Linked DNA regions of Pelodiscus sinensis. The protein of the gene in region 1 purifies or fractionates together with the protein of each later gene. This does not show direct contact. Links are inferred from orthologs where the notes say so. Each region holds a gene or a part of one and is shown on either strand. Other genes may lie near its edges.

Region 1 (7,970 bases):
AATGCGACAATAGAACACTCTCGGATTCTAAACAACAGACTACAGGATCGCGTGATATAGCCCAAGTCATATCAAATATCAAACTTCCAACGTAAAAAAACCTTCCAAACCAGGTTGCAAGGTGAAACTGCTGAACTGGAATTTATATGCAAATTTCATACCATCAGCATACCATAATCTCTCATTACAATCAGTAGTGTGGAGGCAGGAAAAGGGAGTAAGGGAGTTTGTGTGCAGCCATCTTGGTCTTGTTAGCAAGAGTCTGGGCAGAGGATCGGTGGGTAGGAGGGGTGCAGGCTCTTGGAGGGAGTTTGGATGCGGGAGGGGTTCAGGGTGCATGCTCTGGGAGGGAATGTGGATGAGGCCCGGATGCAGGCTCTGGCCTGGGGTGGGGGAGGAAGCCGCAGGAGGAGGCAGGCTCTGGGAGGCAGTTTGGAGCTTGGGGGCAGCACCAGGGTAAAGGGTGCCATGTTTACCTGGGAGGCACCACCCTCTGGCAGCAGCTCCTAGTGCACGGTGCTGCTCCCACTGCTCTTCCCGCCCCACCTGCCACTCACATGCCTTCCGCCCTGCGCATCCTTTGGTTCCTCCTGCTGCCCCTAGGTGAATTAACACACCCTGGAAGCCCCCATCAGCAGTGCAGCGGGGCTAGAGAGGCTTCCTGCCGCTCACTCTGCGTGGCTGCCAGCACCTCCGAGGGGCCTGGGAGGGTGGGGGGAGAAGAGTGGGTCTCTGTGCGCTGCTTGCAGTGGGGGCCCCCCCAAGGCATTTAAAATCACCCAGGGACAGCAGGCGGGGCTGGGGGGCAAGCATAGGGTGGCGGAACTCAGGGAGACCTGAGCCAGCAAACGCGAGGGGGAGGGGGGGAGCGCAGGCCCCTACAACTCGCCACCTTGCTGTAAGATACGCACAGGATTTCACTGAGCTGCTGGAACTGCTCCATGGCTGTGGGACACCAGCACTGCTCTCTCTTACTGCTGCAGCCCAGGCACTGCCGGCCGTCTCCTCCGTCCTCCGGATCGCTCTCTGGCTCGTTCTCACTCATGCTGCTCTCGCACGCCTTCACTCCGCCTTCACCCTTCTTCCCCTGGCGCATGTAAATCTTGAAGGTGCGGCTGTAGAACTGCTGGATCATCTCCTGGAACGTCTCGGTGGTGGTGAAGAAAAGGATGGCTTTGAACATGGTGTAGACTTTCTCTCGCAGCACCTGGGAGCCTGTTCCAAGGAGCAAGCCCATTCTGGTCCATTTTTCCAGAAGGTCCAAGCTGTTCAGATAAGGGTCGAGGCGGCACTTGAGCAGACAAAAGGCATCCAGGAGAAGCAAGGAGCACTGTGGCTCTTCCGCCGTGTTTTCATACTGGCCAATACAATTCCAGAATTCAGGAGCTATATTGGCCTGCAAGTCTGTCTGTAAAACTTCAGTGAACCATTCTTCCAGGACAGAGTGCAAGTCATAGCGCTGCAGCACTTCCACGGCCGCCTGCAAGTCACTGTCCTTCAGCAGCCCTGCTGAACCTGATCTGGGGCCTGCCTAAAGAGACACACCAAGTTAAACACAAGCCTGGGCACCTACAAATCACTGAGGCTGGGCTTTGCAAATCCACCTCAAAGAACAGCCAGCAGGCTATGGATGGAGCATGTCCCCCACTGGTATTTGGGTCACGTTTCAGGCGGCTGTAGGTTACCAACCACCTGCTGTTGGTGGAGAGGGTGGGGTCTCAATCCTGCTGATAGGAAGGTGTTCACATCATGAGCACCCACACCGTGACTGGCATCAACTGCTCCCCTTGCTGACAGCGGCCATGGGAGCTGTCAGGTGAGCAGCCTATTTATTGAAGAGCTCAAAGCCACAATGCCAGCCATTCAGTGCACAGAAGTTTCCATAATTTGCTCCCTCTAAACCAGCGAAAATACAGTGGCTCGGAACAGGCAGATTCAATTTGGAAACAATATGCATTTTCCTAGAAAATGTTAAGTGAATGAGCTTCCAAATTAGAACATTCTAAGAATAGGGGTGGCCCTGAATCCCTGCGGGGATCCCAAGGCTCCTCTCTTGCGACCATCTTTGACTTGGCAAGAACAAAAGCTAAGGCAATTCCCACACACCAGGGTGAGAATGCACTTAAAGGTGCGGGCAGACATCCATTCCTCTGGTTTGCGACCTTGCAAGAGCAATTGGATAGAAACAACATTGAGACCCCCAGGAAGTTCAGCCTTAAGTCTGCACTCAGAAGAGGTGCAAAGGCACCACCTTAAATCTGCTGCCCAAGTGATGCCCTAACAAAACTAGAAAATCGAGCTGCCTTATCTGCAACCAACACCCTCTCCGGGGCCCACCCGAACTGAACTGTCCTACGCACTTAGGGGTTCTCAGGACAAAAACGGGGCGGGGGGGTTGGGGGAAATGGCTGGGATCCGGGGTGGGGGGCACGGCTAGGCCTGTCTGCAGGGTGGGGGGCTGTCTGGGGCTGATTAGGAGGCCTGGAGGGAGGCTCCATCTGGGGGGGGGCTAAGGGGGCCTGCATGGGGGGGGCTGTGTGGGAGGAGGGGCTGCATGGGGGGGCCGTTTGGGGGGGCTGCATGGGGGGGCCGTGTGGGAGGAGGGGCTGCATAGGGGGTCCGTCAGGGGGAGAGACGGGGGTCTACATGGGGGGGCCGTGTGGGGAGGTCATCGGGGGGGAGACAGGGGGGTCCGAGGGGGGCTGCATGGGGGGTCCGTCGGGGGGGGAGACAGGGGTCTACATGGGGGAGCCGTCTGGGCGGGTATACATGGGGGGGGCCGTTTTGGGGGGCTGCATGGGGGGGGCCGTTTTGGGGGGGGCCGTCGGGGGGCGAGACGGGGGGGTCTACATGGGGGGTCCGAGGGGGGGCCTGCGGGGGGGCCGCTCTCACTCACCAGCCCCAGCGCGGCGGGCGGCACCAGGCCGGTGCTCAGCGCGTGCCAGGCCGCCGACAGCTCCGGGCCCGGCCCCGCCGCCATCCGGCCCGCGCGCCAGGGGCACGTGAGGCGGGGGCGGGGCGAGCGGGCGGGGGCGGAGCCGGGCGAGGGGCGGGGCGAGCGGGGCGGTTGGGGCGGGGCGGGGCGCGCGCCGGGCCGGGTTCGGGCCGCCATGACTCAGCAGGGGGCGGCGCTGCAGAGCTACAACAACGAGCTGGTCAAGTGTGAGCGGGGGGGGACCCGCGGGGGGGAGGGTGCGGGGGGGGCCGGCGGCCAGCCCCCCCCCCCAGCCCCGTGCGCTGCTCCCCGCCCTCTGTGCGCTGCGCCCCCCATGCACCCTGGCCCCCCCCGTCTGTTCTGTGCGCCGCCCCCATGCACCCCGCGCCCCCGTCTGCTCTGTGCGCCGCCCTCATGCACCCTGCCCCCCCGTGCGCCGCCCTCATGCACCCTGCCCCCCCGTGCGCTGCCCTCATGCACCCTGCCCCCCCGTGCGCCGCCCCCATGCACCCCCCGTCTGCTCTGTGCGCTGCCCCCATGCACCCTGCCCCCCCGTGCGCTGCCCTCATGCACCCTGCCCCCCCGTGCGCCGCCCCCATGCACCCCCCGTCTGCTCTGTGCGCCGCCCCCATGCAACCTGCCCCCCCGTGCGCCGCCCCCATGCACCCCCCGTCTGCTCTGTGCGCTGCCCTCCATGCACCCTGCCCCCCCGTGCGCCGCCCCCATGCACCCCGCGCCCCCCGTCTGCTCTGTGCGCCGCCCCCATGCACCCCGCGCCCCCCGTCTGCTCTGTGCGCCGCCCCCATGCACCCCGCGCCCCCCGTCTGCTCTGTGCGCCGCCCCCATGCACCCTGCCCCCCCGTGCGCCGCCCCCATGCACCCCCCGTCTGCTCTGTGCGCTGCCCTCCATGCACCCTGCCCCCCCGTGCGCCGCCCCCATGCACCCCGCGCCCCCCGTCTGCTCTGTGCGCTGCCCCCATGCACCCTGCCCCCCCGTGCGCCGCCCCCCTGCACCCTGCCCCCCCCGTGCGCCGCCCCCCATGCACCCCGCGCCCCCCGTCTGCTCTGTGCGCCGCCCCCATGCACCCCGCGCCCCCCGTCTGCTCTGTGCGCCGCCCCATGCACCCTGCCCCCCCGTGCGCCGCCCCCATGCACCCCGCGTCTGCTCTGTGCGCTGCCCCCATGCACCCTGCCCCCCCGTGCGCTGCCCTCATGCACCCTGCCCCCCCGTGCGCCGCCCCCATGCACCCCCCGTCTGCTCTGTGCGCCGCCCTCATGCACCCTGCCCCCCCGTGCGCCGCCCCCATGCACCCCCCGTCTGCTCTGTGCGCTGCCCCCATGCACCCTGCCCCCCCGTGCGCTGCCCTCATGCACCCTGCCCCCCCGTGCGCCGCCCCCATGCACCCCCCGTCTGCTCTGTGCGCTGCCCCCATGCACCCTGCCCCCCCGTGCGCTGCCCTCATGCACCCTGCCCCCCAGTGCGCCGCCCCCATGCACCCCCCGTCTGCTCTGTGCGCCGCCCCCATGCACCCTGCCCCCCCGTGCGCCGCCCCCATGCACCCCCCGTCTGCTCTGTGCGCCGCCCCCATGCACCCCCCGTCTGCTCTGTGCGCCGCCCCCATGCAACCTGCCCCCCCGTGCGCCGCCCCCATGCACCCCCCGTCTGCTCTGTGCGCTGCCCTCCATGCACCCTGCCCCCCCGTGCGCCGCCCCCATGCACCCCGCGCCCCCCGTCTGCTCTGTGCGCCGCCCCCATGCACCCCGCGCCCCCCGTCTGCTCTGTGCGCCGCCCCCATGCACCCCGCGCCCCCCGTCTGCTCTGTGCGCCGCCCCCATGCACCCTGCCCCCCCGTGCGCCGCCCCCATGCACCCCCCGTCTGCTCTGTGCGCTGCCCTCCATGCACCCTGCCCCCCCGTGCGCCGCCCCCATGCACCCCGCGCCCCCCGTCTGCTCTGTGCGCTGCCCCCATGCACCCTGCCCCCCCGTGCGCCGCCCCCCTGCACCCTGCCCCCCCCGTGCGCCGCCCCCCATGCACCCCGCGCCCCCCGTCTGCTCTGTGCGCCGCCCCCATGCACCCCGCGCCCCCCGTCTGCTCTGTGCGCCGCCCCATGCACCCTGCCCCCCCGTGCGCCGCCCCCATGCACCCCGCGTCTGCTCTGTGCGCTGCCCTCCATGCACCCTGCCCCCCCGTGCGCCGCCCCCATGCACCCCGCGCCCCCCGTCTGCTCTGTGCGCTGCCCCCATGCACCCTGCCCCCCCAGTGCGCCGCCCCCCATGCACCCCGCGCCCCCCGTCTGCTCTGTGCGCCGCCCCCATGCACCCTGCCCCCCCGTGCGCCGCCCCCATGCACCCCCCGTCTGCTCTGTGCGCCGCCCCCATGCACCCTGCCCCCCCGTGCGCCGCCCCCATGCACCCCCCGTCTGCTCTGTGCGCTGCCCTCCATGCACCCTGCCCCCCCGTGCGCCGCCCCCATGCACCCCGCGCCCCCCGTCTGCTCTGTGGGCTGCCCCCATGCACCCTGCCCCCCCGTGCGCCGCCCCCATGCACCCCGCGCCCCCCGTCTGCTCTGTGCGCTGCCCCCATGCACCCTGCCCCCCCGTGCGCCGCCCCCATGCACCCCCCGTCTGCTCTGTGCGCTGCCCTCCATGCACCCTGCCCCCCCGTGCGCCGCCCCCATGCACCCCGCGCCCCCCGTCTGCTCTGTGCGCTGCCCCCATGCACCCTGCCCCCCCGTGCGCCGCCCCCATGCACCCTGCCCCCCCGTCTGCTCTGTACGCTGCCCCCCATGCACCCTGCCCCCCCGTGCGCTGCCCCCCATGCACCCTACCCCCCGTCTGCTCTGTGCGCTGCCCCCATGCACCCTACCCCCCCGTGCGCTGCCCCCCATGCACCCTGCCCCCCATCTGCTCTGTGCGCTGCCCCCCATGCACCCCGCGCCTGCTCTGTGCGCTGCCCCCCATGCACCTGCCCCCCGTGCGCTGCCCCCCATGCACCCTACCCCCCCGTGCGCTGCCCCCATGCACCCCGCGCCTCCCGCCTGCTCTGTGCGCTGCCCCCCATGCACCTGCCCCCCGTGCGCTGTCCCCCATGCACCCTGCACCCCCCATGCGCTGCACCCCACGCCCCCGTCTGCTCTGTGCGCTGCCCCCCCATGCACTCTGCCCCCCCGTGCGCCTCCCCCCATGCACCCCGCGCCCCTCGTCTGCTCTGTGCACTGCCCCCATGCATCCTGCCCCCCTCTGTGCGCTGCCCCCATGCACCCTGCACCCCCCCTCTGCTCTGTGCACTGCCCCCCTATGCACCCTGTGCCCGCTCTGTGCACTGCATCCCCTCCCTCCCCATACTCCCCCACACTCTCTGCACTGGCCAGGTGGGCCCCACCTCCCCGTGCAGGGAGGCCATGCAGGTGCCTCAGGACATGTCTCGCCTGCGTGCGTGCTAGAGGGATGGGCCCTGAGCCCCTGGCCACAGTTGGCCCTGACTCGCCTCCTGCCCCAGGTATCGAGGAGCTGTGCACCAAGCGGGATGAGCTGAGCCAGCAGATCCAGCACGAGGAGGAGGAGAAGAGCAAGCTGCAAAACGACATCCGGCTCCTGACCGAGAAGCTGGCCCGCGTCAACGAGAGCCTGGCTCGCAAGATGGCCACCCGCAACGAGTTTGAGAAAACCATCGTCGAGACTGAGGCCGCCTACACGAAGGTATCTGGCCGCCGGGGGCTGGATTTCTCCAAGGCAGCTGCCCGATGCGTGGGGGGTTGGGTGGTACTGCCGAAGAGGCATGGCGTCTCTCCAGTTAGCAAGGCCTCGTGTAGAACCAGCTCTGAACTGCAATCAAAAGGCCAGGGAAAGCAGGGCTTTGTGGTGTGGCTGAACCAGAACTAGGTTCAACTCACTCGGCCAAAATCCTGTGGTCATTTACAAAAGTGAGTTGAAAGGTGCCACTGCACGTGGGGGCTGCCTTCCTGGGTATGGCACTTCCCACCCTGGGGAGCACTTAGCTAAGGCCTTTCCACAGCTCTCCCAAAAAGGGTACTGCTGTGAGAAAACCACACCAGGCACTGCACATGGGACCTCCAGCCCCTACCACGGCCCTCTGCCACTTGGCTGCGTTGCGGGGGGACATTGGGAACTGGGATTCTTGGCCTCTCCTCCTGGTTCTGGAAGAGCACTAGGGCCTAGTGGTTAGAATGACTGCTAGAGACAGGGTAAGCAAGCAGGGGCTTGGCACATTCGTTTCAGAAGGCAGTTTGGGTGAGGCTTAGGGGTTCGAGTTGGTGGTTTTGATTCCAGCTCCACCCAAAGTGCCCTTGTGCAACCTCAGATTTCTTTCTTCTCTGTAAAATTGCAGTTCTTTGAGAGCCTCCTGCATTGCCTTGTAGACTCTCAGCTCCAATCCCAGTGCATCATCTCTCTTCTTCCGGTCCGTCACCGCCCACTGGCATTCCGTTCATGGCACACAGTGCCTTAGCAAAGCCTGGGCCTAGCACAGCCTCATGGCCCCAGGGAGGACTGGCTGCCCTCTCCTACAAGACAGAATCTTGGGGGGGGGGGGAGTAAGATGCAGTGATCTCCCCAGGGAACACTTCAGAGCAGGGGCAAGGCTCTGTGGTTGTGTTGTATGGGAAGTGTCGCCTTTGCTGCTGCAGTGCTTGAGTTTTGCCAGCACACGTCTCCCATTCTGGAAAGGGTGTGAGGAGCACAGGGCCGTGCTGAATACCAAGGCTTGAGAAACCCCCTCAACAGGAGCTAGAGAGGGGAGGGCCTTTTCTTTTCAAGCGTGTGGACTGAGGGCAGGGGCCAGACCTGCAGAGAGTTGAGGATGGGGAAGGTAACTGGGGCATAGCCTGGGTCACTGCTCTCCAACAGAGCCCAGAACTTTGGCCTCTCCACAGTAAGGATGTTAACTAACAAGTAATTTACTAGTTGAATAGTCGATGGAATTTCCATTGATTACTTGACAGGCACTTCTGCATTCCTCCTTTGAAATGTACAGGAGCCCCCAGCTCCCCCTGGGGGTGGGCCAGGGACCAGAACC
Region 2 (7,543 bases), on another chromosome or scaffold:
CTCTCAATTCTCTCTTACAAGTGTAAATTAAGTTCACAACTCCCTTGTAAGAACTGGTCTCACAAAAGGCAGACCAGCACTATTTGGCATCACAGATAAGAAAGAGAAATACGTGACCCCATGGGTATAAAGATGGGTACAGTAGCACACTCACTTTTGAGTGTTAATCTACCCTCTACCTGCTGGTCGGGTTAGGTGTTTGACCTCCCGAGGTTCTATGGGGACGCCCACCTCATATTTTCGTCTTTCCTAGGAATTGAGGGACCGGCTCTGGCATGATACGCTGGAGCCGAGAGGCACAGAAGGGGGTAAAAATTGTACCTGGATGTGGTCCTCTGTCTTAAGTGTACACAGACTAAGAGCTCTTTAAAGGTTAAGCTGTTACTTGGTACTATTATTTTTGTTTTTCCTATCTTTATCTTCTTTGTAACCATTTTTAATATCTATATTTTGCTAGCAGTTAAGAAATAGAACAATAGCCATTGCAAACATATGATTTATAAGCTTCCTCAATAAACCTGTAACTGTTTAAGCTTTAACCTGACTCCTTCAGTTGCTGTAACAGAACCAGGCACAATTTAAAAGAACTTCAGCCGGTCTTAAGGGACAGATATAGGGAGAGCTTGGGCATTTGGATTTGTGTCACTCCCAGGTGGCAGATCCGTTGGGGCACTCCTCAGCCTCCCCTAGGCTGCCCGCTGCGAAGGAATCACAGATTCTAGCAGCTAAAATCTGAAGTGTAATAAGCTCTCCCTGCAAACATATTGGGGCGCTCATAAACCTCCAGGTTGCCCGCTGCAAGGGACCCCAGTCTCAGCAGTTGAAGTCTCGGGTGTATAGCACACACACACACACACCACTCACTGCCCTGACGGTCGGCTGACAGGCAGTCAAAAAAGCAAACAAAATGCTGAGCATCATTAAGAACAGATAGAAAAAGAGAGAAAAAAATCTTATTGCCTCTATAGAAATCCATTGTACACACACATCTTGAATACTGCATGAAGATGTGGTTGCCTCACTGCAAAAAAGATATATTGGAATTGGGAAAAAAAAGCAGGGCTATGGAACAGGTGTTTTATGAGGAGAGATTAATAAAACTGGGATTTTTCAGCTTGGAAAACAGACAGCTATAAGGGGATATGATTTGGGTCTATAAAATCATGACTAGTGTGGAAAAATTGAATGAGAAATTATTTATTCCTTCCCATAACACAAGAACTAGGGGTCACCTAATAAAATTAATAGGTAGCAAGTTTAAAACAAACAAAAGGAAGTATTTTTTTTCCACACAGTCAACCGAAGAAACTCCCTCCCAGAGGATGCTGTGAAGGTCAAGACTATAGCTTTGTCTACACTGGCACATTTTATCACCAAAAGCTGCCTTTTGGCAATGAAACAATGAGAGCATTTACACTACAATGTGAATTTTGTCACCCAGTTTTGGCAACAAAAAAACTTCAGCCTTGTAAGAGATTTTTGTCTCTTCCCTTCCCTCTATTGTCAACATAGAGTCAGTGTGGACACTGTGGTTTGTTTTGTTGAAATGGCTTTCACCAGTATCCCACAATGCCTGACCTGATAGCTCTGTTCAGGCTTTTGCGATCTTTGCTGCCTGCATGCATACATCCTTCCACTTTCAAAACTCTGGCAAGTATGTGACAGGTCAATGAGCTTCACCATTTGGGGAACAAATAAAGAACAAATCATTGGAGTGATTCTGTTCTGCCCTGGTAGAAACATGGCATCAGGCAGACTGCTGCTACAGGGCTGGAGAGACTGCTGAGCTGCTTTGATATTCCTCAGCACAGACAGATCACAGAGTTAGGTGGGAATCCCAAGAAGTGCATGGATAAACTCTGCCTTCCCAAAACACTACACCGGGGTGTGTGTGTGTGCGTGCTTACCCACATCACTTTGTTTGTTAGTTGACAGGATACTAGCAGCGTGGACATAGAATAGCGACAATGGGAGACAGAAAAATTAGTTTGATTGGTTTTCACTTTTGTCACCAAACCATCTCCGTGTAGACCTCGCCTATAACCATGAGTGGCTGGTGAAGCTGGTGCTGGGGGAGGCAGGCACCCCCTCTGCTGAAACCTGGGAAGCACTCCCCAGAGAAGGGGCAACAGGCCAAACGCTCCCCAGCTTCCCCGGAGCACTGGGGATGGGGGATAAGAGGGGCAGCACCGAATGCTTCTCAGCCTCCCTGAAGCACCAAGGAGAGGAAGAGAGGGAAGGGGAGCACCAGGAGGGCAGGTGTTGAAGGCAGCAACACTCCGCTCCGAGATAGTCTTGGGGTGGAGTGTGGGTGGACCAAGCTGGTAGCTTGCCTAAGCCACCGGATGCCTGTGCCTATAACAGAGTTTTTACAAAGCGCTAGATAGATTCCTGGAGAACAGGCGCATCAATGGCGATTAGACAGGCTGGGCAGGGAGAGTGTCCCTAGCCTCGGTCACAAGCTGGGAAGAGGCGACAGGGGAGGGCTCGTGTCACGACCCCTGTTTCTGTTCACTCCCTTTGGGGCACCTGGCACTGGCCACTGGGCGGGATGGGCCTTTGCTCCGACGCCGCCTTCTTAGCTGCAGCCCCCCAAGCCCGGTCCCGCTGGGCCCCACAAAGCACCCGCGAGACCCCGCCCCGTCCAGCACCCCCCACCCTGCCGCCTCCGCCTGGGGCAGCCCCAGGTCGCAGGGCCCCGAGAGGGGCCTTGCCTCAGCCCCGGCTCCGGCCCCCCGCGGCACTCACGGGTTGTTGCCGCTCATGGTGAGCAGCAGCCCGCTGAGGAGCCGCACGTTGGAGTGGAGCCCCGCAGCCGCCATCTCCCGCACATGCTCCACCACGCTCATCCCGAAGCGCGGGGAGGCGCAGGGGGCGCCGGCCGGGGACGGAAGCGACAGCAGCTCCTCAGCCCGCAGCGACTCCAAAATGGCGCCACAGAAGGGGCCTCGCACACAGGGGTCCATTGCGCTTCTTCCGGTCGCCCGACCTCGTGCCTCCGTTTAAAAACCTCTCCGCTGGGGCTCCCCCAGGTAAATCCAGACCAGGTGTAAGCTTCCACCCCGCCGCTGAACGGATAGGCATCAAAGCAATGACATTTTCCATCAGGCATAAAAGTAGACGCCCCAGGAGCCTGAGGCACTTTACGCATGCGCAGGTGGCTCTGACGGCGCCTCGTGTCGCGGGCTAGCTCGCGGCGGAGCCCTTGCGGGGACCTCCCTGTTCCCGGCACAGTGAGGGGACAGTGACGTCACAGTGAATGCGATACCTGCTCGCACGCGCGTCGTGTCTGGGCCCGCCTGCTTCTTGTCCCTTCCATAAAGGAAGCGCTGCCATTGAGCCAGCAGGGGGCACTGCATTGGGCCTGGCCCCCAGGGTAGTTCAATCGCCGACAGAGTCCCAGCAGCGCTGCGCTCTCGCCGGGGTAGGCGGCAAGTCTTGGGCACGTTCCCTGTAGTTTAAGCTTAGGCGCGCCCAGTAATGCAGGGTGGGGAGCTCGGGCCCAGGGGCTGGAAGTGGACTCTGGCTTGTCTGGATCTGGTTCCCAAGGCTCCCCCCCAGCGTTTGAGAACATGCACTGGCAGCAGTTAGGGTTGCCAGATGGCTGAAACAATAATACCGACCCCCCCACACACACACCAAAAAAAAAACTGGAAACATTTTGTTGAAGGAAAGAAAAGGGGGGGGAGAACCAAAGTTGTTGAGAAAAAAAAGGGGGGGGTTTCCAAGAACCTGGATCACTGCTAGGGGTTACCAGGGAGTCATTTAAAAATAAAACGCTTCATGGGGGGGGGGGGAGAAGTACCGGCCAGGAAGGGAGCAGTGCTGGCCTGGAAGGGGGGTCCTGGAAACAACTAATGGGGGTTGCAACGGGGCTGGCCGGAGGAGATGGGGGAGGAAGCAGGGGGGATAGGGCAAAACGGGCCTGGCCGAGGGATATTGGGGGAGGAGGGGTGGGAAGTGCAGCTGGGGCGGATTGGGGGCCATGAGGAAGGGGGGCAGGAAGCAGCTGGCGGGGGTGGGATGTAGCGGCTCTAGCCGGGGGAGATCAGGAAGAGGAACAGGCTGTGGGAAGCAGAGCTGGGGGCGGGGCGGGGGCTGCGGGGCTGGCCCGGAGGAAGGGGGAGCAGGAAGCACAGCTGGCGGGGGGTGGTACAGTGGCGCTGGCCGGGAGGAAGGGGGGCAGGAAGCAGAGCTGGCAAGGGGAGGGATGCAGCGGCGCTGGCTGCGGGAGATCAGAAAGAGGAATGGGCCAGTGGGAAGCAGAGCTGGGGGATGGTGCAGAGGGCTGGCCGGGGAAGTGAGGGAGAACCAGCCAGGAAGGGGTGAGCAAATTGGCTGGCAGGGAGCGGGACTGACCTGGGCACTTGCTGCCTGTCCCGTGCAGGCTTCCCCTCCTCCTCACACTCAACCAACTGAGGGCTCCTGGCAGCAATCATGGCCCCGCCTCCCATCCGCTCCCCCCACCCATGCCAGGCTTCCGTCTGGTGCGCAGCTGGAAAAATCAAAAAATACCAGACATTGCACATGTCCGGTATTTTCTGATTTTTTTTACCGGACAGAGCGCGCAAATACCGGACTGTCCAGTACAATACCAGACACCTGGCAACCCTAGCAGCAGCCCCTGACTGCAGGGGGTCTGAGCTCCCCATGGACAGAAGCTGTTCCACCTCTGTCTGAGGGGAGCTCAGTCCCACCTCAGGTCTCCTGCTGAGGACTAGCCTCTGTCCATGGCAGGCTCAAGTTTACTGCAGAGAGAGGCTGCTCCATGGGAGGCTGAACAGCATCTGCCCCCAGGGAGTTCAGACCCCAATCCCTGCTGCCCATGGACCAAGGTTGCTTTGTGGCAGCCTTTCCATCCTCACCGCTGCAGCAGCCTCTGTCCATGGGACCTCCTACAGACAGTAGCTGTTGCCACCCCTCACTGCTGCCTCTTTATCAGAGGCTGCAAAGCAGGCTGGTAGGCAGCTGGTCCATGTGGGGATCTGTTTTTTAACTCCTGCCTGGCACCCCATGCTAGTGCCTCTGATACAGAGGCAGCAGCGCGGGTGTTGGGGGGTCCCCAGGAGTGGGACCAAGAGCACACTGGATGCTGGCCTCTCCCCTGGGGACTATAAAATAGTTGATAACCAACAGGATTTCATGACTCAACTATTCAATTAACTGATATCTCGCACACTAGCTGATATACAACCAACCTGTGCAGTTCCTTGTTAGGGTGTTGTGAAGGCCAGGACTGTTCAAAAACAGAGCTAGATAAATTCATGTAGGATAGGTCCATCAATAGCGATTAGCCAGGATGGGCAGAGATGGTGTTTGTCAGAAACTGGGAATGGGTGACAAGGGCTGGATCACTTGATGATTACCTGTTTTGTTCATTCCCTTGGGGCACCTGGAACTGGCCACTGTCAGAAGACAATATACTCGACTAGATGGACCTTTGATCTGACCCAGTATGGCTGTTCTTATGTGATGTTGACTTCTACCCATCACCCATGTTAAACTTGGAGCAGCATGGTGACAGTTTTTTGGAGGTGGGGAATTTCTTGCAGCTCTCCCTGATGTGGGACATTATAGTAGAAATGCAGGCAGCTAGCCCAGATCCCCCATACTTTTGGGGGCCCTGTGGAGGTCACCTCAACCATCTTAGGGATGGGAGTGACCAGGGAATTATGGGGACCTAGCATGGCAGCAGCAGGGGTTGCTCCCTCACAACAGCAGGAGTTGGAGCAGCCCAACAGCCTACTCCACTCCATCTTGCCACCTTCTTGCAGCCCGCTGCTCCCCATAGCAGAAGGAAGCAGACACCTGTAGCCCCAGGGTGGTGAGTAGGGGGAAAGATGACCCCTGCTGCTGCACACCAGGACCCCATAATCCTCCTGGGCTATGCTGGTCAGGGGGCAAGGGCAGGGCAGAGATGGGAGATGTGACGGAGGGTGCTGCCTCGGGCCCTCTCAGGATGGCCCTACAGAGATGGAGGAAGAGGCAAGTGTACATTGAAGAGGGGAGGGGAGTTGAGAGACACACAACGGCTGTGTCTAGACTGCATCCCTTTTCCGTAAAAGGGATGCAAATTAGACACATCGCAATTGCAAATGAAGCAGGGATTTAAATCCCCTCCGCTTCATTTGCATAAACATGGCTGCCGCTTTTTTCCGGCTCGGAGCTTTGCCGGAAAAAAGCACCAGTCTAGACGCGGATCTTTCAGAAAACAAAGCCTTTTCCGAAAGATCCCTTATTCCTTATTTTAATAAGGGATCTTTCGGAAAAGGCTTTATTTTCCGAAAGATCCACGTCTAGACTGGCGCTTTTTTCCGGCAAAGCTCCGAGCCGGAAAAAAGCGGCAGACATGTTTAGCGGAGGGGATTTAAATCCCCGCTTCATTTGCAATTGCAATGTGTCTAATTTGCATCCCTTTTACGGAAAAGGGATGCAGTTTAGACACAGCCAATGTGTAGCTGTCATGTGAAATGTCCCTTTAACATCTATATCCTAAACACCTATATCACCAGTTACCTTAATGCAACTTTCTACACCTTGTTCCACCAGGTAATATTATAGGCACAATAATCCTAACATGTTACAGTTTTTACTCAGGCAAAAGTCTCATTAAAGGGACTATAGTCTGCACCAAACTTCAGGATCAGGCCTCATATATTTTTTATTTTGTTACCAATCAAGAGGAGTTACATTTTAATGCAAGACTGGCATTCTAGAGCAGAGAGGTAGCATGAACTGGTGCTTAAGGTAGTGGACTAGAATGCAGAGTGAAATCCTGGACTCATTCACTGGAGTCAGGATCTCTTTCAAGGGTGCTACTTCTTGCTCCACTACTGACTTCCTATGAAGGGCTGGCTCTAGGTTTTTTGCTGCCCCAAGCAAAAACATTTTTGCCCTCCCCCACCCAAAAAAAACACCGGGAAAAAATTCTGTTGAAGGAAAAAAAAAAGTGTGGGGGGGAGACCAAAGTTGTTGAACAACAACAACAAAAAAATAAAACAGCATGTCCCCTTTAAGAGTGAGTGCAGGAATAGGAACAAGAGAGCAGTTGAGCACTAAGTCTCCTTGGTCTTTTGGCCGGCAGCCATTTTGTGCCAGCAGCCTAGCGACTGCCGGGGAGGGGAGGAGTAGGAGAGGAGACGAGGTGGCCAGCAGGCTCCAGGTGCACATTGGTGCCAGCTGGCTGCACAGCCACGGCGTTTCCCAGGCCGCAGCCCTTTAAAATCAGCAGGGCAGGGCTAGGCGTTGCCAGGGGCAGCGCCAGCTGCTTACCTGAAATGCTGCCCCAAGTACCTGCCTGATTTGCTGGTGCCTAGAGCCGGCCCTGTTCCTATGTGACCTTGGACAAGTCACTTCTTTCTCCTCTTATTGGATAGGTGTCTGGTCTACTTAACACTTTACACTCTTTAGGCCAGAGAATTTTTCTGCACAGTGCCTAGTACAATGGAATCTCAGTCTCCATTGGGTCTCTAGGCACTACATATGTTTGAATGTACTGAGCCATCAATCAACAGATCTCATCTTTTGTGATCCCATTGGTGAG
Region 3 (7,333 bases), on another chromosome or scaffold:
GGTTTTTACCTCACACAAGGGAATGCAATAAAGACTATTACTGTACATGCAAACTATCTTTCTGTATTTTATCAGTAGAAGTCATTCTATCACAGCTTCCACTAAACTATACCTGAACCCTACACTTTAAGGCTGGCTTTGATTTTTATTCTACACTGGCATGATTTTGCAGAAATACTTTGGGGCTGTGTCTAGACTGCATCCCTTTTCCGTAAAAGGGATGCAAATTAGACACACCACAATTGCCAATGAAGCAGGGATTTAAATCTCCCCCGCTTCATTAGCATGAAAAAAGCTGTCGCTTTTTTCCGGAAAAAAGCGCCAGTCTAGATGCGGATCTTTCGGAAAATAAACCCTTTTCCCGAAAGATCCCTTATCCCTCATTTTAAGATAAGGGATCTTTTGGAAAAGGTTTTATTTTCCAAAAGATCCACATCTAGACTGGCGCTTTTTTCCGGCAAAGCGCCGAGCCGGAAAAAAGAGGCAGCCATTTTTATGTTAATGAAGCAGGGGAGATTTAAATCCCCACTTCATTTTCAATTGCGATGTATCTAATTTGCATCCCTTTTATGAAAAAAGGGATGCAGTCTAGACACAGCCTAATGGAAAAGTTTTTCCGTTAAAAGTATTTCTGCAAAAGCACATCTAGATTGGCACAGATGCCTTTGCACAAAAAGTGCTTTTGCACAAAAGCATCCGTGGCCAGTCTAGATGCGATTTTGCGCAAGAAAGCCCCAATCACCATTTTAGCCATCGGGGCTTTTTTGCACAAAACAGTTCTTCCCTGTCTACACTGGCCCTCTTGTGCAGGTATTCTTGGGCTCCCCCCCCCCCCAAGCGGGAGCGTGAAAGCTTTTACGCAAGAAGCACTGATTTTGTACATTACAAAGTCAGTGCTCTTGAGCAAATTCAAGCGGCCATTCAAGCTGGCAATTTTTTTCACAAAAACTTTATGCACCCCACGCAATTCCTTCGTACAAAAATTTAGAAATCTGTGATTAATTTTTTATCAAACCTAAGATTCTAATTGATTACAAGGAGATGCATTTTGATTTGGCTTAATTCTGGTAAATGATCCCGTTATTTAGATGGGAGAGCACAAGAGTCCCATAAACAGATTTCACATGCCTTTCCTTTGTACATCTTGCAATTAAAGTAGACAGGTCACCTCCTTCACAATATTCCATCACAATGTAGAGGGTTGTATTGGTTCTGTCAATAATGCGATCATAATATCGGACAATATTTGGATGTTTCAGCTCCCGGAGCAAATTCACTTCTGAAACAAGCATTTGTTTCTCTGCTTCTGTCATAGAGCCATAGTCAAGCTCTTTCCAAACTAAGACCTGAAAAACAGTTTACAAAATGACTAAAACACTAATGCTTTCTTTAGGAATGGCTTATAAAGCCAAGCCAAGCTAATTGATCAACTAGTTGAGCTTGATAAGCTAGAACAGCAGTTCTCCAAACATGAGGGTCAGGACTAAGGAATGTAATGATGAATTAGGGTAACTGTGTAACCACTGAAAGCCTCAGCAGTTCTATAGTTACTCAGGTTGTGGACTCTTCAGTATAAAGTTTAGCTTTATTCTACAGAGCCTGAAGCAAAGCTTCCCTGGGAGAAGGGCCACCCACCCCAGCTCCCTAGAAGGCCTCTTTGCTACTGCAGGGATGCCTCCTCCCCTGGAGGAGCTGGCTGCCCTTGCTCTCCAGGCTGACAGGGAGGAGGCTTCCCCCAGTGTAACCCATAACTTAGCACCCATTATCAGTTAAGCAGATAGTCATTTACATTCAAACATCTCTGATCAACATCCCCTGTAAACTACGTGCTTTCAAACCACTCAGTTGAGATTTAAGTGCAGTCCATCTGCTTACTAGATAGATACTACAATTATCACCTGTAATACCATTAACTCACAAACATCCCACTCTCCCTACCTTTAATATCAGCAATTCACAGACACTTACCTTCCTTCCTCCCCCTTCCCCGCATCCCCCTTCTGTTCTGCACACTTACCTTCCTTCCTCCCCCCCCCCCCGCATCCCCCTTCTGTTCTGCAATGTCATTTGTCCTTTTCATATTTGTTCATTTTTTTAATTGTATCCTTTGGTATATATGGTTGTGACTACTTTCTTTCACTATTTGATCTGAGGAAGTGGGTCTGGCCCACGAAAGCTCATCATCTAATAAACCATCTTGTTAGTCTTTAAAGTGCTACATTGTCCTGCATTTTGCTTACTAGATAGAACACCCACAGCTGTTTTAGGTTTCCATTGGTGGCACACATAACCACTTGCCTCTGTGCACATATTTTATTTTGGATATGGTTGGTAAAGATTAGGGGGAACATTAATCACGACCCCATTATAACAGCATTACCACAGAGTTGGCTTCAGCCTTGTTAGGAACCAGGCCTCTCCTGAGAATGGAGCAGTAATTTCTGTGTCAGAGGTCGCAGTGCAAGGAAGTTTGAGATCCCCCCACCCGACTGAGCTAAAACCAGGACCCGTCACACAGCGCGCAGCCAGAGGCGCTGAGAACAGATGTCGGGCATTACGGGCAGCGGCGGGGAATGGGACTTCTCAGCATGAGGACGCCAGAGATCGTCGCACTCAGCGGGGCCCGAGCTGCCCTGCTACTCACCTTGCCGTCCACCCGGCGCAGCACCTTTTGGCACTTCCCATAGGAACCGGCGCCGATGGTGAGCAGCACCTCGTAATCCTCAGGCCGGCTCGGCATGGCGTCACGACACGTTGAATCCCGGCCAACGGCACCACCGTAGCGGTGCTGCCTGTCGCTGTCGTTTAAACGCGCCGCCCCCGCTGGTCATTGGCCCCGCACAGCAGCTCCGCCCACACCTTCAGTCCGCCCATTGGCTATTCCGTTGTAAACAATTTACGTCATTGTAACGGCCGTTACGACTGCTAAGCAACCACGGCGGCGCGAGGGAAGATGGGGAGACAGCTCCGCCCCTTTTTTCGTATAGTTCCGGCAGACAACTGCCCCATTTCCTGCCTTTGCTTCTCAGGAGCAGACGGACACTTCTCCCGGGCTGTGATCTTCCACCCAACGCCTGCCCGCAGTACCGTACCAACGGCCACCCCCACCACATCCCTCACCACCTGCCCCACTGTCCTGCCACGCCTCCCACAGCTCCGTCGCCACAGACAGCCCACTAAGCTATTGCCCCCCCAGCTCATCGCTGCCGCCCATGCTGTCTCCACCACTGCGTCCCCATCCTCTTATTGCTGCCTCTCCACTGCCCCCCTCCTCCACTCGGTGCTCATGGCCTGCCCAGGGTTGAAATGGGTGTATTGGCTGTGTAAAATAGAGGTCCTCAAAGTGTGAGGAATGCTCCCCTAAAGGGGGGGTGCTGAGGAACGGGGAGGGGTACAGCAGCCACTGTGGGCTGGGAAGGTGCATCACCAGCCCCACTGCTCTGGCCCCACCGCTCACTTGGTGCTCCAGCTGTCACCCCACTAGTACCTGGCAGGGGGAGGTGGGGCAGACAAGGATAAGGAGGGGGTGACCCTGAAAAATTTGGGGACCTCTGATATAACCTGTTAAGGGGGCACCAGCCACCTGCAGCAACATCCTCTAACCCTGCTCTGGGACTTTTCCAGGCTCTCAGAGGGGTGGCTGGTGAGAGAAGCTCTCCTCCCAAACCTTTCACACAACAGTGGCTTCCCCCCCAGAAGTGGGACCCAAAACCCTGCTTCAGGCTTCTGATCAAGTACATAGGGTCACACAACACTGGTCAGGTTTGACCTGGTCAGACCAAATTTGAGTGAGTGGTGTTGCAACAGGATGCAGCACATGGAGTAGAGAGCTGGGTCCAGCCACACAGGATAGGAACCACCACTGCTAGGAGAGTGTGGTTTCAGGCCAACACTTCAGCACACCATGACCCTCCCCCATCTCCCCTCACGGCCTCTCATCTGCGCTGAAAGAAGTGTATATTTGCTTGTTTGTGCACCCTGCTTTTATAATTTCTGTGGGTACAGGTGAACCCATGTATCCATGCTAAAGCTGCCCCTGGACCAGATCAACCACAACCCCTAACCCCTCCTTACACACACGTAGCATTGTCCACAAGGTCCCACCCAACTCTGTCCCAATGTTCACAGCCCAGCACCGACCCTCCCTACACACTACCTTTCTTATACCAGTATAACTGCAGCGAGTGCTCCAGATTACAGTCCCTCTTTTGGCTCCGCCAGAACCTCTTGAGTTTCTGGCTGCACTTCACCCCTCACTTATTAATTTATGCACACCCCATCTGTGGCCCCACAAAGTCGCACAACCTCCTTCTCAACCTCCTCCTGGCTCTTACAAGATGGCAACTTACAAAACCAGGGAGTAGAGGTTGGCTGAGGGAGGGGCTTGCGACTGTGGGGCCTACTTCCTCTCCTGCATCTGTTCATGAATCCAGGCAGAGCGAGATCCGCTGGCTCTCTTGAGACCTTTGAAGGGCAATGGGCGCTGTTCTCTGCTCAGTGTCCCCATCCAGCTCCCTCATTTTGACCCTATGACCACCACATCCGTCCCTGTTTTCTTTTTATTTGTCCCCAGTAATTATTTGGTATTCTGGGCTCTGTGGTCCCTTCCTGTTGGCTAGGGGGTGGTCCTTTAGATGTGGGTGGGCCAATAGGACTAGTATAATCCAGTGATTTTAGTGAAATATTTCCCGACATACACCTATGTAAATGGAAGGAGATTCAGACCCAATGTATAGTAAACAAAACAACCTAAGAGCTTGCCCGATCACCTCTAGCCTCCTAGTTCTGCCATACTGTCTTCAGAAATTGATGGTAGTCTGCAGCAATGTCTACTTTGAGGCCTGTAAAGTGTCTACACACCTATGGCACTATAGAAATAACAACATAAATTTAAGTATTTGGCTAATTTACAACTTTGCCTTATTCTTGGCGAGTTTGAAGCAGTTTTGTGATACACGTTAACATGTAGGTGCTACATTTTAATTTCAAAGTCATTCAGCTCTGAAAACCTATCACAGTAGTGAACCCTCATCAAGGATCTGATCCTGCAAACATCTGACCACCCACAACTCCTACTGAAGAGATACTGTAGGTGCTCAGTATATTTAACTGTTAGGCTAGACTTAGTATGGAATGATAAACCACAACAGGCACTTTTATTTTCCAGGTTTGGGGAACTTATGGCCTATTGGTCGAATCTAGCCCATGGGCCAGATCTGGCCCCCGGCTTCCCTTGATCTCACCCGCAGCAAAGCTTGAGGTTGCCCTTCTCCCTCACAGTGGGATAAAACAGCACTAGTGCTCCAGCCCCACTGTAAGTCTCACTGCCTTGGCATTACCCACCCATGGAACTGGAGCACTAGTGCTGGTTCACCCTGCTGCAGGGGGAAGGGATGCCCAGAGCCTCAAGGGAAGCTGTAGAACAGATCAGACCTTTAAGTTAGTTTTTTTTCCTTCCTTCCTTCCATGGCCAGTGAGTGTGGCCCCTGAGTGATTTTTCTTTGGGTCAGTAGTCACTAACAAAACAAAACAAAAACAAAACAAAACAAAAAAAAAAGAGAGAGAGAGAGAGAGAGATTCCCCACTCCTGGTTTAAAAACTGACTTTTTTTATTTTGCTGGAAAAATTCATATTGGAGTAACGTTTTATAAATATGGGGACAAATTTGATCTATGTCTCTTTTAATTGTACAAACGCAACTGGGGGCAGAATTTGGAGACTTATCCAAGGTCCATTGAAAACAATGGAACAAGTCCAATTAACTTTCAGAGAAGTAGCCGTGTTCGTCTGAATCTGTAAAAGCGACAAGGAGTCCTGTGGCACCCTACAGACTAACAGATGTATTGGAGCATAAGCTTTTGTGGGCAAAGACCCACTTCATCAAATGCTCCAATACATCTCTTAGTCTATAAGGTGCAACTCCTTGTCGCTTTTCCAATTAACTTTGTTTGGTATTGTATTAGGCCATTGGTCCTTAATGTTAAATAGCTGGATTTTCAAAAATGACTCCTTAAAATCAAGTGCTTAAACTATGTTCAGGCACCCTTATACAGCCTATGTTAAAAAGTATGGGGCACCTAGCAGCTGCTGTAATTTCAATTTGTTTGAAAGTCATACTATTTATTGGGTACCTAAATATGGATTTAAGTCTAACTTAAGACATTTATTTCAGAACATCTTGGCCACAGGTACTAAACATAGGGGGCTCGTCTACACTGGCCCCTTTTCCGGAAGGGGCATGTAAATTTCATGAGTCGTAGTAGGGAAATCCGCGGGGGATTTAAATATCCCCCGCGGCATTTAAATAAAAATGTCCGCCGCTTTTTTCCGGCTTTTAAAAAAGCCGGAAAAGAGCGTCTACACTGGCCCCGATCCTCCTATTCAAAGTAGGAATAAGAGCCTCCGGAAAAGGGTGCTTTTTCTGGAGGATCGGGGCCAGTGTAGACGCTCTTTTCCGGCTTTTTTAAAAGCTGGAAAAAAGCGGCGGACATTTTTATTTAAATGCCGCGGGGGATATTTAAATCCCCCGCGGATTTCCCTACTACGACTCATGAAATTTACATGCCCCTTCCGGAAAAGGGGCCAGTGTAGACGTAGCCAATGGCTTGAAGCTACACTGCTATTTTGCGTCACACTGTAGCTATACCAAATTTCCACTGGATGGCACTTTACAATCACTCCTAAAGACGAGTCAGATAGAAGGATGGCTATTTTCTTTCATCCAAAGTGTTGACAAAAACTAACCCTATGATATATTGTTGTATTTAAGTAGCAGGACATCAGTAGTAGTTCTGTTCTGAATATTGTCAAGCAGATATTGCAAGTTTTGAAAAAGCTAATGCAGATAAACAGGGCTGGTAAGATGAGAAAAACTGTACTGTGATAACTAGGACTAGAATCTAGTTCCTGTGTTATAGGATGGAGTAATAGCACTTCCTTATTTACTTTCTCCACACCAGTCATGATTTTATAGACATCTTAGTATACCCACCCCCCTTGGTTGTGTCTCCGGTTGGAAATTGCATGCAGTGCTGCATGTACAAGATTTCAAGCATGCAAATGTTCCTCTGGCTCTACAATTGCAGAGACAGGATTTAGCTCTGTGTGCTTTGCTTCTTCAGTGATAAACAGAAAAGGAGAAAAATCTTCCTGCGTTTTAGCCATTTCCCTATATAAAGAGTAGCTGGTTCCAAGATTTTTAGCATGGGTTGTTAGTATTTGCATGTAACTATTACTTCTGAGATCAAGACATAGTCCCTGGTCCTATCAGAGCAATTCCTGACTTAGGAAATCTATTGACTACCTTTAGGCTACGTCCACACTGGCCCCTTCT

Evidence for each region. Proteins that work in one complex are often made in the same cells at the same time.
Region 2: the proteins of ANAPC2 (region 1) and ANAPC7 fractionate together in Homo sapiens (co-fractionation; 6 studies listed by BioGRID and IntAct, with this or other methods). This does not show direct contact. The link is inferred for Pelodiscus sinensis from reciprocal best matches to the Homo sapiens genes ANAPC2 and ANAPC7.
Region 3: the proteins of ANAPC2 (region 1) and NEK2 purify together in Homo sapiens (affinity purification with mass spectrometry; 4 studies listed by BioGRID and IntAct, with this or other methods). This does not show direct contact. The link is inferred for Pelodiscus sinensis from reciprocal best matches to the Homo sapiens genes ANAPC2 and NEK2.

What each region holds. Positions count from the first base shown.
Region 1 is NC_134732.1:2,396,886-2,404,855, forward strand, and holds the start of ANAPC2 (anaphase-promoting complex subunit 2), read right to left. Parts: upstream 3,018-7,970; 5' UTR 2,981-3,017; coding exon 2,897-2,980; intron 1,532-2,896; coding exon 912-1,531; intron 1-911. Other genes in the region: microtubule nucleation factor SSNA1, read left to right, coding at 3,111-3,162, 6,435-6,634. UniProt on the Homo sapiens protein: Together with the RING-H2 protein ANAPC11, constitutes the catalytic component of the anaphase promoting complex/cyclosome (APC/C), a cell cycle-regulated E3 ubiquitin ligase that controls progression through mitosis and the G1 phase of the cell cycle.
Region 2 is NC_134725.1:32,240,293-32,247,835, reverse strand, and holds the start of ANAPC7 (anaphase-promoting complex subunit 7), read right to left. Parts: upstream 3,018-7,543; 5' UTR 2,967-3,017; coding exon 2,749-2,966; intron 1-2,748. UniProt on the Homo sapiens protein: Component of the anaphase promoting complex/cyclosome (APC/C), a cell cycle-regulated E3 ubiquitin ligase that controls progression through mitosis and the G1 phase of the cell cycle.
Region 3 is NC_134713.1:146,536,392-146,543,724, forward strand, and holds the start of NEK2 (serine/threonine-protein kinase Nek2), read right to left. Parts: upstream 3,018-7,333; 5' UTR 2,741-3,017; coding exon 2,645-2,740; intron 1,347-2,644; coding exon 1,129-1,346; intron 1-1,128. UniProt on the Homo sapiens protein: Protein kinase which is involved in the control of centrosome separation and bipolar spindle formation in mitotic cells and chromatin condensation in meiotic cells.